Oreochromis niloticus: one gene and its partner. The protein of the gene in region 2 interacts with the protein of the main gene of each other region in a biochemical or structural test. Links are inferred from orthologs where the notes say so. Each region holds a gene or a part of one and is shown on either strand. Other genes may lie near its edges. The genes, in order: rap2aa and ral guanine nucleotide dissociation stimulator.

Evidence for each region.
Region 1: the proteins of ral guanine nucleotide dissociation stimulator (region 2) and rap2aa form a complex in vitro, tested with the Homo sapiens proteins (2 studies listed by BioGRID). The link is inferred for Oreochromis niloticus from reciprocal best matches to the Homo sapiens genes RALGDS and RAP2A.

Annotation. Positions count from the first base shown.
Region 1 is NC_031987.2:17,418,008-17,426,515, forward strand, and holds the start of rap2aa (ras-related protein Rap-2a), read right to left. Parts: upstream 3,702-8,508; 5' UTR 2,801-3,701; coding exon 2,487-2,800; intron 1-2,486. Other genes in the region: muscleblind-like protein 2a, read right to left, coding at 6,950-7,077. UniProt on the Homo sapiens protein: Small GTP-binding protein which cycles between a GDP-bound inactive and a GTP-bound active form. In its active form interacts with and regulates several effectors including MAP4K4, MINK1 and TNIK.
Region 2 is NC_031977.2:33,217,217-33,225,506, reverse strand, and holds the start of ral guanine nucleotide dissociation stimulator, read left to right. Parts: upstream 1-4,649; 5' UTR 4,650-4,874; coding exon 4,875-5,063; intron 5,064-8,290. UniProt on the Homo sapiens protein: Functions as a guanine nucleotide exchange factor (GEF) activating either RalA or RalB GTPases and plays an important role in intracellular transport. Interacts and acts as an effector molecule for R-Ras, H-Ras, K-Ras, and Rap.

The DNA of each region.
Region 1 (8,508 bases), on a different chromosome or scaffold from region 2:
GCTGGAATGTGGCTTGGACCTTCAGAGGCCTGTACTAAGAAGCAGGGTTTCATCTTATCCAGGTAATTTCAGGATTAAGTCTGATTTTCAGTATTACAATGGCAGACAACTTCTTACTGGTGTACATCGCAATGGTGTGAACCTAATCTGCTCAAGATCAGAGACAGGTATTAAATCTCTGCAGAGTGATCAATCAGTATTCTGGAAAATCTTGTCATCATTGCTGAAAGATCCATCAGACCTGTGTGCACGGAGAATAGATTATATATATTTTAAATCTATTTTATTGTTCTATATGCATCAATATATGAACCTGGCTTTCTTTCCTGGCTTCAAATAGGCTAAACTTTATTCATATAACAGCTCTTTACCAATCTTACTGACCAAAGTTCTTAAAGTGAACACTTACTGTATTATTCCACAGTGCTTTTCTCCTCACATACACTGCTGTGTATGTATTTTGCCAACAGTGAAGTTGCAGCGTGTCCTCTGATGGACAAACTGTACAACAGACACAGGATGCACTGAATTTGGATTTCTTACCTGTGTGCAATCTGGTCACCAGTCTTTGTACTGATGTAGCAGCACAGAATGAGCGCTGTTTAATATTTACAAGATTTTCCAACACTTTTCAGGAACAAAGAAGTCACCTTATGCAGCTGCAGTCATCAGAAGCTGTTATTAATCCTGCCAGCATGGATGAGGAGCAGAGAGCACAGTAAAAGCAAGCCGTTCCAGGTCTTAAATGAAATGTTTCTTGTTGCATGGTTAGTAGCAAACAAGGTCGATATTTGCTGATGTTAGAAAAAGTCTGAATAACCGAAGGAAATGTGCGCACTGCCATTCAGAGCGAACTTTCCGAAAGCAGGAGTGCATACAAAATGTGGGTCACAGCTTAATAATCGCATTGAATATGACATTTTTAAAGAAAAAAAAAAAGCACAATCCTAAGTTTTAGATGTCTAACTCCCCATGAAGCCCAGCACCAAATTAACTGCTGTGTGGGAGTAGTGTTGTGGAGGGCGATCTTTCTGCTACGGAAAATAAATTCTGCTGTCATATCAGACAACGGCACCAGACTCAGTGTTAGGTGTGAAAACACAACAGCCTGGCTGCATCTGCCCCGTGAGCGCACGCGCACACCATTTACATACAAGACGACACACGCTCACGCAGCAGACTCGACATACCTCTACTCGTACTCAACTCATATGGGAGAAACATGTTGACCTCATTCTTTCATCTGGAGCCACATAATAATAGGATTGTTTAGAAGGTGCATTTGAAAAAAGAAAGGGTCTAAATCCAATTAAGTGACAAAAACTAAAGGCAACCTATAAAAATAAACATCCACAGCATGATTATATTTCATTTTGAGGTGGAAGAGTGGAAGAACTGTGACAAGGGAGGGACAAAAACCTTATCCAACTACAGTATATAGTAAATAGCTGGATTATTAAACGGTATGAACTATAAGTTGATTTCAGTAGGGTTCTTCTTATTCTCTCTCCGGAGCCTATTTGACTCTCTGAACTAACTGTAACAAATCCACTGACACCTACAGTGACTGATGAACCCACACAGTCGCAGCCCAGCGCACAGTGCCTGCACACTGGAACACCGAAGCGGAGCTAACAAATACAGGACATTAACCAATCTGATCTGGATGACTTTTATAATCTCATGCTATGTCAGCAGGTGAGCATAGAGCATACAGTACAGCGTATCTGCACAGTACATTGGCCTAGAGCAAAGGAACACCAATAACATGACAGCTCCACGCAGCCTCAGCTAACCTCTCCCATGTGTCAATCAGCAGCTCACTGTGGTGACCTCATATCTGGATCATCTGTGCAGCAGCTCTGAGACATCAGGCTTTCCATTGTGCTGCTCTTCCTAAAGAGCTTGTGCAGCTTCTTAATTAAAAACACGGTGACTCCTCTGCAGATCTGTGCTTTCAACAGTCCCGCAGCTTTTTTTGTTTTTTTTCAGCCACTCTTTCTTGAAAGCTCTCTGCAGAGCCTCTCTTGCACTGGATCCTGGGTATTCCCGGTTGGGTGTTTCGCAAAGGTTGCAGCATCCAGTGGACACGGAGCGGCACTAGACAGCAGCTTGGCAGATCACTGACGCTATTTGTTTGCTCTGACAGGAAGACAGACGTGTCTTCGCAGAGCTGAGGGGTAGGAAGGATCAGCACTGTTGTCCTGTTAGTAAACACTAAAGTCAGACATTAGAAAGTCTGCAGGAACTTTATATGCTGGGTCAGAGGCGTGGGGGCAAGGAATATGGGTGAGACCTGGAATACCATAATAGGCATGGAGTGTTGTTGCCTTAAAGATGCATAACATCTCCAAGCAGGCCGAGACCCATCCTGAAACTACAGGGCCCATGAGTCCAGCATATGTGTGTGAAAAACAACCCCCAACAGTCACACTTAACATTATGGACATTACTCTTTTTTTTCCCCAGCACATGATTTCACCAACCTTTTCACTCTTATGATCTGATCCCTCATCGGCTTTATGTCCTGGAAGCTTTGCTGGTTGACAAGGCTGTAGACCAATATGAATCCTTGACCGTTTTTGATGTACAGGTCGCGCATTGAGGCGAACTGCTCGGTCCCAGCGGTGTCAAGGATCTCCAGCACCGAGGGCGAGGAGTCCACCTCGATCTCCTTGCGGTAAAAATCCTCTATGGTAGGGTCGTACTTCTCAATGAACGTCCCGGTCACAAACTGCACAGTGAGGGCGGATTTCCCGACCCCACCGCTGCCCAGGACCACCACTTTATACTCGCGCATCGTGGGATTTAAATCAAGTCGTAAGGTATCAATCTCCGCGCGTCATTGAAATCAACGCAAAATGCTCCCGTGCGAATCTCGCTCACCATTCGTGTCCCATTCTGAACGGGCTGTCAATAACACAGTCTTGTTCGCTGCTGCTCAGCTATGGCAGAGCACAAAGACTCGGCACCCCAAGATGGATTTCATTGTAGATATTCCCCCCATGCAGGCCAGACACTGACAGTTATACGAGCATCCGAGGACTGGAAGTGTCCGAAAAATGCGCAAAGGGAGAAAGAGAAGCTCGCCCGATGGTGCTGAACGTGCGGGTGTTCATCTGCTTAGCTCACCCCTCTCTGTGCTTCATAAAAAAACAAACTTGCTCCATCGAGGACACTGGGAAAACGCTGGCTTAGCCCCGGAATGAACTGCAGGCGCAATTTTTCAAGCTGCAGACCGCCTCAGAGAAACTCTCCCAAATTAAAGTGCCCTGACTTTCAGTTAAAGAACTTGCGTCTATTTGTTTCTGTTTCACCATCTCTGACATGTCTCCGCTTCTTCCCCGCTCTCCAGTGCGATTCCAGCCGCCATACTCTCGGGTGGAGACCCGCGGCCGCTGCGTTACCAGCCGGTCCCCACTCGGCTCCCGTACCGAGGCACCAAAAAAATAAAAGAAGAAGAAAAAAGGAAAAGCCTGTGGATCCTCCTTCGTCAGATGGATACATGAACAGCCCAATGGGCGCTTCCGCTTTCTGTACACCTCACATGTGCCTGAATGGCAGCCTCGCGGAGGAAGCCAGTGAGATTCGTCGCTGACATTTCCGTTCATGTGTTAAAATTCCCATCATTCGGTTGCCCCAGTGACATCCAAAGAGAGCTCATCCAATCACGGAGGCGGCTCGGGGATGTGTATCCAAGAGGAGGTGAAACGCACCGGATGCTGTTGCTATGGTAACGCTGCATTTAAATTTTTTTTATTTTGCTGCTATCCGAATCGAGAGTGAAAAGTCACTCACCTTGTAAACAAAAAATATAATAAACCTTTATTATTTTTTGATATTGAGCAATACAGGCTACACTCCAATTGAAACCGCCAGTTAAGTCTTTTTAATGGACTATTTTGGCTTTCATTAATAGTGATAAATACAATTCCACAGGACAGCTGTTTGAGCAAAGGGTAACACAAAAACATGAAAACATGCTCACTGAGGATGACACGTGATTTCTACTGCTGATGCATTGCAAAATTAAACAGAGCTCACAGGATGGCATTTACACGACATTCATATATTTATTTATGTATATTTAATATCAGATTGTACACAATTTAGAATTTACAGGAACAAAAATATCCACAAGAAATGATTAATTATACAATTACTTTTGGGGAAAATGTTTGCATTCAGAACAGGATGGATCCAAATAGCTGTTGCGTGACATCTTAACCAGAGGCTTCAGTGTTTAAATATGACAGATTGCAATAAAATGCTAGCCAACCCCACAAGCCAATCAATATCAGCCATTTCAGGTGTGGTTACAATCTGTAATAATGACCTCATGTTAGAAATGTGTGTATCTTAATTTAAGAGAAAGGTTCAGTGAAGTTTATTCTATTTATTAGACGACAAAGAAATCATAATTAGTGAACAAATACAGACTCAGTAATACACCAAAGGTAAGGCAAAGTTCACAGAAAGCCTGTCTTCTCAGTTGTCTGACTGTAGAAAAAGTGCTTAAGAGAAGTGTTTCCATCAGTCAGTCAGACCAAACATTCTTACTGTTCACATCTTTTTGACTGGGCGATCAAGATCTCAAACAACCTCTGTGTGCAGGTGGATCCATGACATTCAAACGTTTTGCCATAACGTAACACAAACATTCAAAAACATGCCTTTATTTTGAAAGTAAAATAAATAAGTGGGGAAATATTGTATGTCTAATAGCAGTCTAAACTTTTAAAGCAATTATATTTTGAAAGCCAAATACATTTTTAAGTTTGGTGCTCAACATGCAGAGGGAAGCCTTAACAAACACGAAACTAACATTTCAAAAGTTCTCTTTTATGCACTGTTTTACCCACAGTGTTTCACCATATAATAATAAAGTTAAATATCCAAGTTTGTAATCTAATTACTGTGAGGAGATACAGCTAATCTACCACCTACAAAAATACAGTTTTCATCACTGCAACTTGGGATTGCCCTCAGCAACAAATCAGACAATAAATGACAAACTACTGTTACACCATTATGAAAATTACTTCTTTTCTTTTTTGGAAAACATGTCCTGTACGATGCACTTTTGTACATAAAAATCAAACCTATGGCCTTGGTCATACAAAGGCTTGTTGTCCCTTACAGGTGACAAGACAGCAAAAAGGATGAATTGCTTTAAGTTTCTCCTTTGTCCAACATCAATCCCTGGACACAAGACTGCTTTTAACAGGCTAACAGATCAAGGTCCTTTGAGAAACCCTCAGCAGACCTAAAGTAATTTTAATAAATTGCATTCATCACAAAATAAAAGAATACATGTTAAAACTATTTTTAACTAACGTTACACTAGTAAAATATGCAATTATGCTCGTAAATTCTATTGACATGTAAAACATCACAAGGAAAATATATAATGAAAAAGTGAAGAAATGCAAAACATTCAAGAAAAGGTTTCTATTTGTACACCTTGTTTGCAAAATAGATAACTAAAATTCTAATAAAAGAAAGAAACAATATTTCTCTTAATCAGACACAATGCCCACCCTGTCTGCTGCTAGATAGTAGACAGTAATGAGTAACTGCATCATGCCGCATCAATCTCTCATGACTACATGTCACCAAATGTTTGCCTCCTTAAATTCTACTTTACTACAAAAAGTATTTGACCCTTTTTGCTACTTTCTTGTCGTAAAAATGAAAGAAAATCAAATTAAATTGAAAATTAAATTGAATAACATACACATTAAAGCATCAGTGAAAACAAACTGTAAGCCTAACTAACAGGTCCACACACACAATACCACTGCATTTACATGGTATTGCAAAAACATGTAGATTTAATCCTAATGTATATGTCTTAAGTGGAATAGATTTACTGAGTGTTTTTCCACACAACCATTTTAAAATGTACTTAGTCATTGCATGAACAACTGTTTAGGCACTTGTAACCTTCGATTAATACAGTACTGACAAGTGACTGCAACATTAAGACTAACAGTTGAGACACTACTCAACACGCAACCCTCACAGGATCACAAGAGCTTTAGTTTGAATATGAGCAGCAGTAATTTCATACTCTTACTGAGCTGACTTTCATGGCTGTGGAGGCTATATCAACTTGAACAAGTGAAAAGTATTTACAGATCCATCAGTGAGTCAGCAATTGTCTTGAGCAATAATGCACATTTACTAAAGAGGTGTTAAATTAGAAAAACAAAATTGCTTTGAACGGATAAAACATTTCATTTCTCTCAGAAAAGACAGAAAACAATCTGTATATGTAATGCAAAGGCACACCAGGAGGTGGAGCACTGATCCATTACTCTGGGTGAAGTATAGAGGGACTCAGAGCATTTTAAAGGGACATCCATAAACCTGCTGTTAGATTACATTTTTTTTTATATACACAATGTTTTGTTAAGTTTAAAGTTAAATTAAGTGCTTTTCTCTTTGATTAAAAGTTAAATCTGGCACTAGATGAGCAATCATTAACATCAAAAACAAAACTTTCTCAGTTTAAATAACACATTCAATAAAGAATATGATGATGATAAAACTGCAATATAATCTACAATATAGGACGCCTTTACACCTGACATTAACAGGTACTGTCTACAGACTGAGAAATGATTAAAATATTTACATTATTTAAAACATCTCTGTTGTTTACCGTCTCATTTAGTATTATGCCACTACTGCCAGTTTATTTCTCTGTAGCATCTGTTGTATTTAAGTTTGATTGGTGGCTAAATGCACCCATAACCCTATCAGAATTAGTTTAGGAAACAAATAAATAATGCACATTGATTGTTGAAGGTGCATGTTAGCAGGTGCAAAGGCGTGTACAATAACAATCTCTCTGACACCTATCACAGTATAATGTAGAGGTTCATTATAACTGCATGTAATGTATCATCACAGATCAAATTAATGTCAGATAAAGTCGGAGATGTTATCCGCATGCAGCTTCTTGTATTTTGTGTGTATTGTTAACAGAATATTTACAGAACGGCTGCCCGGGACCCTTAACAGCAGCAACACGGCACTGGCTTCTGTTTCTGGCGGTTACTTGAGGATGATCTGTTTCGGAGGCAAAGACAAGTCACTGAGTAGTTTCACACAACAGGTATACTGTACAATCGCCTTTGTTACAAGACAAAGATTATTAAGGAACTCACTCTTAAGTGATATGAAAATACAAAGTTTAAGTGAAATGAACTTTATCCTCTTAATATACAAAAAAAAAGATCACCACAAAATACTTTCCACAATCATGAAAAATGTCCACGACTTCAGCCTAACTTCAAAAGAAACATTATTTATTTATTTACACATTTTTAAAAATCAGTTTGGTCTAAAAAAAAACTTGCATAAAAACTGTTTCCTGCAATTTGATTTCTTAAGGACAAATGGGGCTTGACCTTGGAGCTAATTTAAGGTTAAAAGTTTTATTGATTTGCAAAAGTGATTTGGAACTGAAATTATAAGTTTTGATATTAAAAAAATGTGTTTAAACAATCAAATGAATTATTTTATACATTGAATAAATTGTTTTATGCATTTTTTAAGATAAGATAAGATAACCTTTATTAGTCCCACACGTGGGAAATTTGTTTTCTTACAGCAGAAAGTGGACAGTGCAAAGTTACATAGAAAAATTAGAAGAAAAAACCCCCACTGGAATAAGATAAGAATAAGATACTGAAACAGTTTTTAAAAAAGTTTCAATTATTCATCAGCTTCAAACCCTTTTTTTCAGCGTCAGACTTTTGACCGTGATTTTGTGTTGTGGCCGTGTATCAAAGGGGAGCTGCACGCGTAGACTAGTGATTGAAAGCTCCTGTGTCACATTGGTTACAAGTTTAAAATGAGCATTTTGGCTGAAGATGGTCATTGCTCCTTCACGGGATGCTGCCGGCACTAGCCACAGTTTCAGATTGTGCTATAATGGACTACATTGATGGGTCAATATTTGAAACATATTGATATACATACAGGTGGGGAAAAAAAAATTACCCCTACAACAAGGAATACTGTTATCTGATTGGGTGGTAGGTTGCAAAAAAGCTATGAACTCTGTAGAGAAATCTAAAAGTCACCTGTTCATTTCTGTACATTATATTGAAATTAGAATCCCCCCACCTTATTTAAACCTTAATACATCTTTAACCTAATGTATATACGGAGTTCATAGCACCTGCAATATCAACATGTTACAAAAATTCACTAATCAATATAGTCAATCATAGGATAATCCAGGAAACCATGTTGGCTGTTGGCTGGTGCCGGCAGCATCCTGTAAAGGAGCAATGGCCATCTTCCATCAAAATGCTCATTTTAAACTTGTAACAAATGTGACACAGAAGCTGTCAATCATTAGTCTACACCCCACCTCTCCCCCTTGATACATGCCCACAACACAAAATCAGGGTTAAAAATCGGAAACTGAAAAAATTAGATTTGAAATAAAAAAATACATGGAAACTCTAACAAAATAAATTTAAAAAAATG
Region 2 (8,290 bases):
GAAAAGATTTTACAGGTTTAATTGTTATTTATAATAGAAGGCAGCTCACAGGTGCGATTAAACTGTGCCAAGATTGGTTGAATGTGTTCTTTAGGCTTCTGTCTGTCCTCAGCTCTGGTTCTTTTATCTGAGGTAGAATGAAAACCTGTGCTCTGTGCAGTTCTGCAGACCATAAATCATCAGCTGTGAACGCCTGGTCACTGAAGTTGAGTTATACAGATTTAGTTGATTTTATTAGGAGAAGGGTTTTGAACGTGAATCTTTATTTTTTCTTGTATTAATCCGTTTATCGTGATTTATGGGCTTGTTATTTTCCTCTTGTTACATAACTCGATATCCAGTCTATGTCTGGCTCTCCCTTTGGCTTTTATTTGTTTCAGGTTTATTGTTTGTGAAGCACTGGAGGAAACATTGAGCGCCTGGCAGCAACCCAGGATAACCACCCAGCTTTAATGCCTTGCTAAATGGCCTCCTGACAGGAGGAATAAAGAACTTTCTGCACTGCTCAGTGTCAGCAGGACTAAAATAAGCCGCTGATGTCACTGCCCTAATTTTAATTTTACCCTCGTCGTGATGGGAATCTTTCTTTGGTTAGTGACGTTTGGATCTGCCCTCCTCACATACTTTTGTGAAACTTCTTCTGTAGGTCGGGGGGTGCAGCCTCTCAGTAAAAGCACGAGTGTTTCTGTGTGAGAAAATAAGAACGTAATGCAGGCTGTTAGCGTCACCGTCCTCGGGGAGCCGTAAAACATCAGCCAGGCCCGCAGCAGCAGCAGCAGCAGCAGCACAACAACATCCTCTGGTGTTGATTTCCAGCAGATGGAAAAAGAGCTTTAGTTAAATCGCAGCAGACTCAGAGTTGGCCGGCCCTCCAGGCTCTGTCAGATTTCTGGGATTCAGCCCATGTGGGTTATTTTGTAGGGCAGATATTAGTACCAGTGCTTGTTATTCTGTGACTTTCAGTCTTTCTGCTGCTCTGTTCTCTGTGCAGATGAAACGGCGAATAGTCACGTCTTGCTCGACATGGGTTACGCTATCTTTCAAACCGATCTACCATCTGGGTCAGGCTTTGTGTTACAACAGACTTTAGGATGTTTTTCTGGCCGTTTTTGCAGTATAGTTTTTGCTGCTCTGTTGTATCTTAATTGCCCCTTGGGGATAAATAAAGTCTCTCTGATTCTGCTTCTGATTAATGATTATAAATAAAGCCTCATGTTTCTGTTGCAGCCTGGTAGAAAAGCACTGGACAGGCCACTGAGGGACTGGGAATAAATTGGCACTAAAAATCTTTAAAAGAATATGGAAAGCGTGGAAATTTAAACATTTAAATAACTGGAAATTTCTATCTTTTTTTAGACAAAAACTTTAATAAAAAGCTTTCAAATAAACATCCTGCAAATTTGTGATAAGAGAAACAGCAACAGCCACATTTGATCATACGGCTGCACGATCAGATGCAGCATTCAGAGCTTTTTATGAGGTCACAGAGCCAATTTGAAAATATGCACTTTAAAAATGGACTCATATGGTTTGATTATTGATTATTATTTGTAATCAAGGATACTTGTAAGTGATTTGTCCAATTAAAAAGGAATGAAGTCCATCCATGCATCCTCTTTCTTCCACTTATTTGAGTCGCAGGTGGCTGGAGCTTATCCCGTAGGGAGAGAGGCAGGATATATCCTGGACAGGCCGCCAGTCTGTCGAAGGACTAACACACGGAAACACACAGCTATTTAGAGTCACAAGTAATCATAACCGCAATGCATGTCTTTGGACTGTGAGGGGAAGCAGAGTACCCAGAGAGAAAACCTGCAGAACTCCACACAGAAATCCCCCAGCTGTCCCGAGGATTCAAACCCAGGACTTTCATGCTGTGAGGGGACAAAGTTAACCACTCTTTTGCCCAAGAGGTACAAGAAATGAAGTGAAATGAAACCAAAACCTTTCTTCAAACACTTAAAACATGTTATATCAGGAAACCTGCTTTTACAGGACCTGGCTCATTGGTGTGGTGACAATAATTGAAATTTGTCTGGAAATATCTCCTTTCCCACTTTTAATCACTGGACTGTAATCTTCCACAGTGAACCATGGCTGTCTTGATTTATTGGAAACTTAAATCTGTGTAAACTTTTAGAAACCCGTGTTGCTCCCTCACTCGTCTTCTTCACGTCGGGCAGCTGCAGATTTCTGAGTTATGAAGCGCAGCCGCTTGGTGAGGAAAGGTCGGACGTGCTTGTGGTTGCATTCAGCCTCAGCTGGTGCGGCAGATGTTTTCCTTAAATTTTCTAAAACGTTTTGACACCTGTCAGTGCCTTGGCGTGGAAAAGCAGTGGGTTGTTTCTAAAAAAATCCAAAAAGAAAAACATGTGAATGAAAATCAAGGTTTAATAATGTAACAGTTAGGTAATGGTTTTGTTCTGCTGTTTAAAGCAGGCTGTGGTGAATTTAAGATTTGTTCTGTGTGATTGGAGACGTTTGTTCCTGACATTGACCAGTAGGGGGCAGCGTTAGACGTTAAGTCTTCAGGTTCTTTCTCTGAAGTCTTACCCTAAAATTCCCCCAAGATGCGTTTGTTGAACCACAACACAAATAAATTCAGTTTACTAACAGGGACTTCCTGATGGTGCTTTCAGGTGCTTTCTGACTGTTAAAGTCAGGTTGTTTGTTTTTATGGTGTGCAGCAGTGCTTTGAAAAGGTGTGTGCAGGATAAGGTTATATAACATTGAGATCTTTGTGTTCAGGTGGTTTCAGTGAGGATTTGTTTCATTTGCTCCTAATTGTTTGCAGCTGAAAAGTTTGGTCAGCGAGCTATTTCGATATTAATCTGTAATTTAGCTCATTTATTTTGGAAAAATTATTCAAGCTTTTCATCTGAGGACCTGCTGATTTTCCCTGTTGTATTTTCTAAGTATAGTAAGATCAGACAGGATGTGTTTATTCTAAAAGTTGGCAAAGAGTTACAGCAGCTTATGACAAAACAGCTTAAACAGACTAGAAAAAGAACAGCGACAAAGCTAAATAGATCAATAGGGTAAAAATTACAAAAATGAAAAAATCTAATAAGTAAAATTTAAAAAGCTCAATAAGTGAAGATCTAAATAAAAAAATAATATAATATACTTCTTGTGTAAAGTAAAAGCGCAATACATTTGATTAATCAAAATAAAACGGAATAAAAATGTTAAACACTAAAATGTAAGTTGAAAAATTTAGATTTTAGACACACAAAATTAGACTTTTTCCCATTTAAATACATATTTATTTGTCATCTTCCCACAAATATGTTTAAAACTCAAACCATTAACCTAAAAAGACAAAAAAACAAAACAAAAACCTAAACAATTATAATTAAATGATCTCTTGAAAGAGCTATAATCTCAGTAAAACTGCTGAAGTGTGACTTAGACTTTTATAACGAGTTATCATACTCACAGGTAATTTGTTTTTTTATATTAATGCATAATCAATCTTTGGAAAACTAAGGGAAAAGTACAAAGTTGCCCTTTTGAAAGGTGTTAGAGCAGCACTGTACTGTTTTAAACTGTACGCCACCTTTAAGCTGTGCTTTAGTGTAACAGTGGAGGAGAAGGTGGGGGAAGCTTCGTGTTGTTTGCTGAGCTGCTCTGGGCTCACGGTAAAAGTGTAACTCCAGCAGACTTCACTGTTTTCTTTTCCCACACAGTCCTCCTGCCACAGTGAAGGCACAAACAGCGCCGTCATTTCCCAGACACATGAGTAAGAGCGGGGGAGTAAGTGCTGCCTTCAGGGACGTCTCGCAGACTCCCGTTTCATACATAACAACTTTATAGTGTGCTTGTGTCGCCCCAGGTTACTTTAGTTACCTAAATTTAGGTGTGATAAAATAAAATGTGGGAAACTTGAAATTAAAGTTAAAAGCAAATATAAACTTCTGTAATTAAATAAAATTATTTTGTGACCTTAGAAAATTAATCACTATAAAATTAAAATGCAGATTAAATAACATTACTTCTGGTCTGTTAATTTGAGTGATGAGGCTTTGGGGAATGTGCTTATTGAGATAATAGGCTGTCTGCATGTCTGTGAGTCCACTGCCGTCACAAACTGTGTTTCTGTTGTAATACTCATTTTAATTTTGTCCCTGATAGAGAACCTCCAGATGATAATATTTAAAAAACAAAGAAACAAAAAAAAACAAACCCAAATCTAAAACTAGGGCTGAAACTAAAAAATATTAAAGTAGAACAAAATATTTTCCAACAATGAAAAAATTAACTGAAATGAGCAAACTCACTCTGTAAACTAACTGGAGAAGAGAAAAATGAAAACTATTATAATTGGACTAAAAAATATAACAACAACAACCGTAGAGTGTTTTTTGTTTTTGTTTTGTTTTAGCACAAAGTAAAAGTCTGATATGGTGACGACCGTAGTTATAAACATTAAAGTATCGTTAATAGCATTTCATTACATCTGTGTAAATGAAAAATAAGTAAATGAAAGAAGTAGTTTGTTCCTTTTCCATGAAGAGTACGTGTTAGATGTTTAACAGCAATTTTGCAAAGTTGTATTCACGTTAATGTAATTAAAGTTATAACTTTTTAAAAATGTGTATAATTTGTGGGATTAAATACAAGACAAAACATAATTTTCGCTAAAGCCATCCTGTGCGTTTGGTTTATCCGACAGCCCTGAAGGCGCCGATAGCTGGGGGCGGGGTTTAGAAAAGCCCCGGTGTGAGTCAGAGCCGTGATAAACTGTACTGAGAGAGGCGATGATCACACAGAAGCGTTAACCTCAGGCGGTAGCGGCAGTGTGTGTCTGTGGGAGCCCTAAAAAAACATTAGAAATGTCAGCGCGGGGGTGTGACTGAACTCTGCGGGCATCCATGGTCTATTTCCCGGGGATGCAAGCCGAGGCGCGTAGCGTCAAGCCGGGCCAGCTGCTCGAGATGTTTGACTCTTCGTGGAGGGTGCGGAACATTTGGGACGGCGTGAGGCTAGAGGTGGTTGAAGACCGCAGCCCGGTGGTCCTGCACAGCTTCACCCACCTGGACCCTGACCTGCCGCTGGTGGAGGTGAGGAGGATGGGGAGGAGGAGGAGGGTGAGGAGGCAAGGAGAGGTCCGTTAGCTGATGCGGTTTGTTGTGTTGTCATGGAGGAGGGTGGATCCAAAGAGGTTTTCAGGCTTCGGTTGCGATTCTGCAGGAATAACACAACACTTGTCCTCTTAAAGAAACATTTTCTTACCGTTAAAACAGAGATTTATGATGTTTCTGCTTTATATCCTCGTATTTCAAAGCTTTATCTACTTTTATGCCCATAAAACATGTTTAAATTTGCGTTAATTAAGCTTACATTCAACATGGTGAGTCACCCAGGTGATGCAATGTGCCATAAACGCTCTAATCCTGTGTTTTTAAGCCTTGTAAACGGATTATCAGTATAAAGCTGCTGATTGGCTGCATCTTACAGTGTTAATACAGTCTCATAACAAACATAACAATACAGGGAAATCTAATATGATGCTGCGGTGCTGCTTGGCACTAGAGTACAGTTACAGGATGACTTGCTTTTTCATGTTGTTATTGAACCTTTCAGCCCTGTGGTTATCACGCCTCCCTCCTTCTGATTCTCTTTGATACTGAAACCCTCCTGTGCAGGTGTTGTTGAGTCAAACCTCACCAAATGCCATGAAATATCTGCACGTTTGATACTGAGAGTGGTCGTTTGTCATTTTGCAGAACGATGCTTTCTGCATCGGTCGCTTGTACTTCTAGGGGTTTTTCCACATGTGCGGGCATACATTGAATCAATCGTGTTATTTACAGTTTCACTAGTTGTTACAGGATGTAGTGGCCTGTTACTGCAGCAACATGATTCATTGATTGGTCAACAAAGTCACCTAACAAAGGAGCGAAGTTAAGATTTTGTTTTTGGTTCTGATCTAATTCATCAGACAAATGTAAACCCATTCAGTTAGTTGTATCATTTTTAGGAAGCTCCGCTGCAGTTCTAAATGTGGCCATGATTACTGTAATTACAGATTAATCTGTAGATCATTACCCCAGCTGTTTGAGTCATTGTTTCGTTGTTAGAATAGTTGTCATGATAAAGATTACACATGGCTTCTTTTGTCCAATCAGCAATCTGAAACAGAAATACTTTAGTGTAATTTCATAGAAAGCCGAAGAAACAAGCGGGTTTTCAGATATAGAAGCTGCAGCCAGCGAATCAGATGCTTTTACATGTTCAGGTCACGATCAAAGTGAATCTAAAAGTAAAAGCACACACGCAGCAGAATGACTTCAGTGTGTATTACATCAAAAACACCCTCCGAGGGAACCGTGAGCCTCTGAGTTCTGGGTTGGGCCTCCGTGGATCGGTCCAGGTTTAATTGAGTGGATGCTTGATTAAATTGGGGTGTAGTTGGTGACGTCATTGTCTGCATTCACTTATTATTTGTGCTCTGATATGTCTGCATCACTGGAGCCGTTAAATCTTGAGCAGCTGTTATTTTTACTGAAATGAAAACAAGAAAAACTGCATATTTCTGCCATTAAAAGATGACAGCATCTCACATTATTAATCATTTACTAATTTGTATTTCGTGTTTTCACTACATATTACTAACAAACAGACCTGTAACAGCTGCTGAAGTGTTTGTGTTGTGTGTACTGTATTTATATTTCTAGGAGGGCTAAAGAGCAGATTTAACACAGTAACGTGAACCCTCTGTTGTCTAAGTCAGCATAGGCGATAAAAACCAACCCTTCACTACCCTGGCCCTAGTTTTTAGAGGTTGGGTTGATCACTGTCTTAGACCTCAGATGGACAATCAAGAATTAGACTCTTGTTTGTGTTCCTATAGAGTTGAATTGTGATGCTAGTAGAGCTCAGATCATAGCCTGTACATGAAAGATGGACATAGCCACTAGTTGGCACTAAAAATGTTAGTTGATTGAACAAATTATTTTTATTTCATTGAAGTACAACAGCAGTTGCCTGCTGGTTCAACAATGTTAGGATGCCACTGGCTGGTGCCCCTGTAACTTCAGTCTCTGTCACGTTGCATGAGCCAGCGCGGTTCAGCAGGACTTCTGCACGGAGCTGTGTGTGACCACATTCAGTTTTTTGTTAATGAGGTTTTAAAGCCTCAGAGTGAACTTTTTCGCTGTCACCATCTTGTTGGTTTGAGATGAGATGGAACAAACTAATGAGATTGAGATATATTGTGCTTTATGGTTTTTGAGTCTGTGTGGCAGTTTAAGTTATAAAATGTATTTTAAAAGACGTAAAACTAACGATTGATACCACAAACTCATCAGGAAAGCGTTTGCTAGGGTCATAGATCAAGTGAGCAGCAGGGGTCTTTATTCATAAAGAATCTGACTAGTCAGTGCAACTAGAAAAGTCTCCCCCTGCTGGGCATTAGAGAGAATGCAGGTTAAATGCTTCACTCTTCAAACACAGGGAGAGTTATCTTATTCTTTAGTAAACTAAACCGGAACATGTTAACATGTTTGACTTTAGAAGACTGAACACACTACAAACCCAATTGCGTGAAAGTTTCAATGCTGTGTAAAATGTTATATTTATGATATGTTTTCTGTGTTCTGTTGTGAATTAAATAGAGGTTTATGGGTATGCAAATATTTTCTTTGCTCTGCAAATTTAGAGCAGTTAATAACAGGAAATCGTCCCTGCAGTATATGAAGATCACGTGTGTTTTGCTTCTCTATCACTACACTGTTTTCATATCTCTAACTCTCATGTTCCCCCCGCCTAGCTGTCCTCTTTAAACCCAGGCTCATAGATATGGTTTCATTGCTAACTATAAAAATTGCCTTTGTTCTGGATTAAATAAACGTTTTCCAGCCTTGTGCTCCATACATCTCGAACATTCGATCACATAAGGTTGAGAGGATGAGTAATCATATTTATTGGTCTTAAACGGAGCCAAGGATTGTATGGCAACGTCACCATGGAGACCATGTATTCCAGTCTGTGTACCTGGATTACATGTTCTCTTCTTTTTACTTTCCGGTGTCTCTTCGGTCAGACTGGACTGGTATCAGAGGTTCATTATTAAACCCCCCCCATTTGGCTCAGTGTGCCCCTGCTGGTCTCCCATCCCCTACTAACCTGTTCTGCTTCGTCCCTTTGCTCTAATCTAATCCTCTGCTCTAACACAATTACCTAATCCCCCTCCTGCAGAGGCTGAGGGGTTTCCTCCACAATCGCTGCCTTTATTCCCCTCCTGCTGCACAAGCCGTGAATGTTATTTGATGCTGAGGTTGTGTTG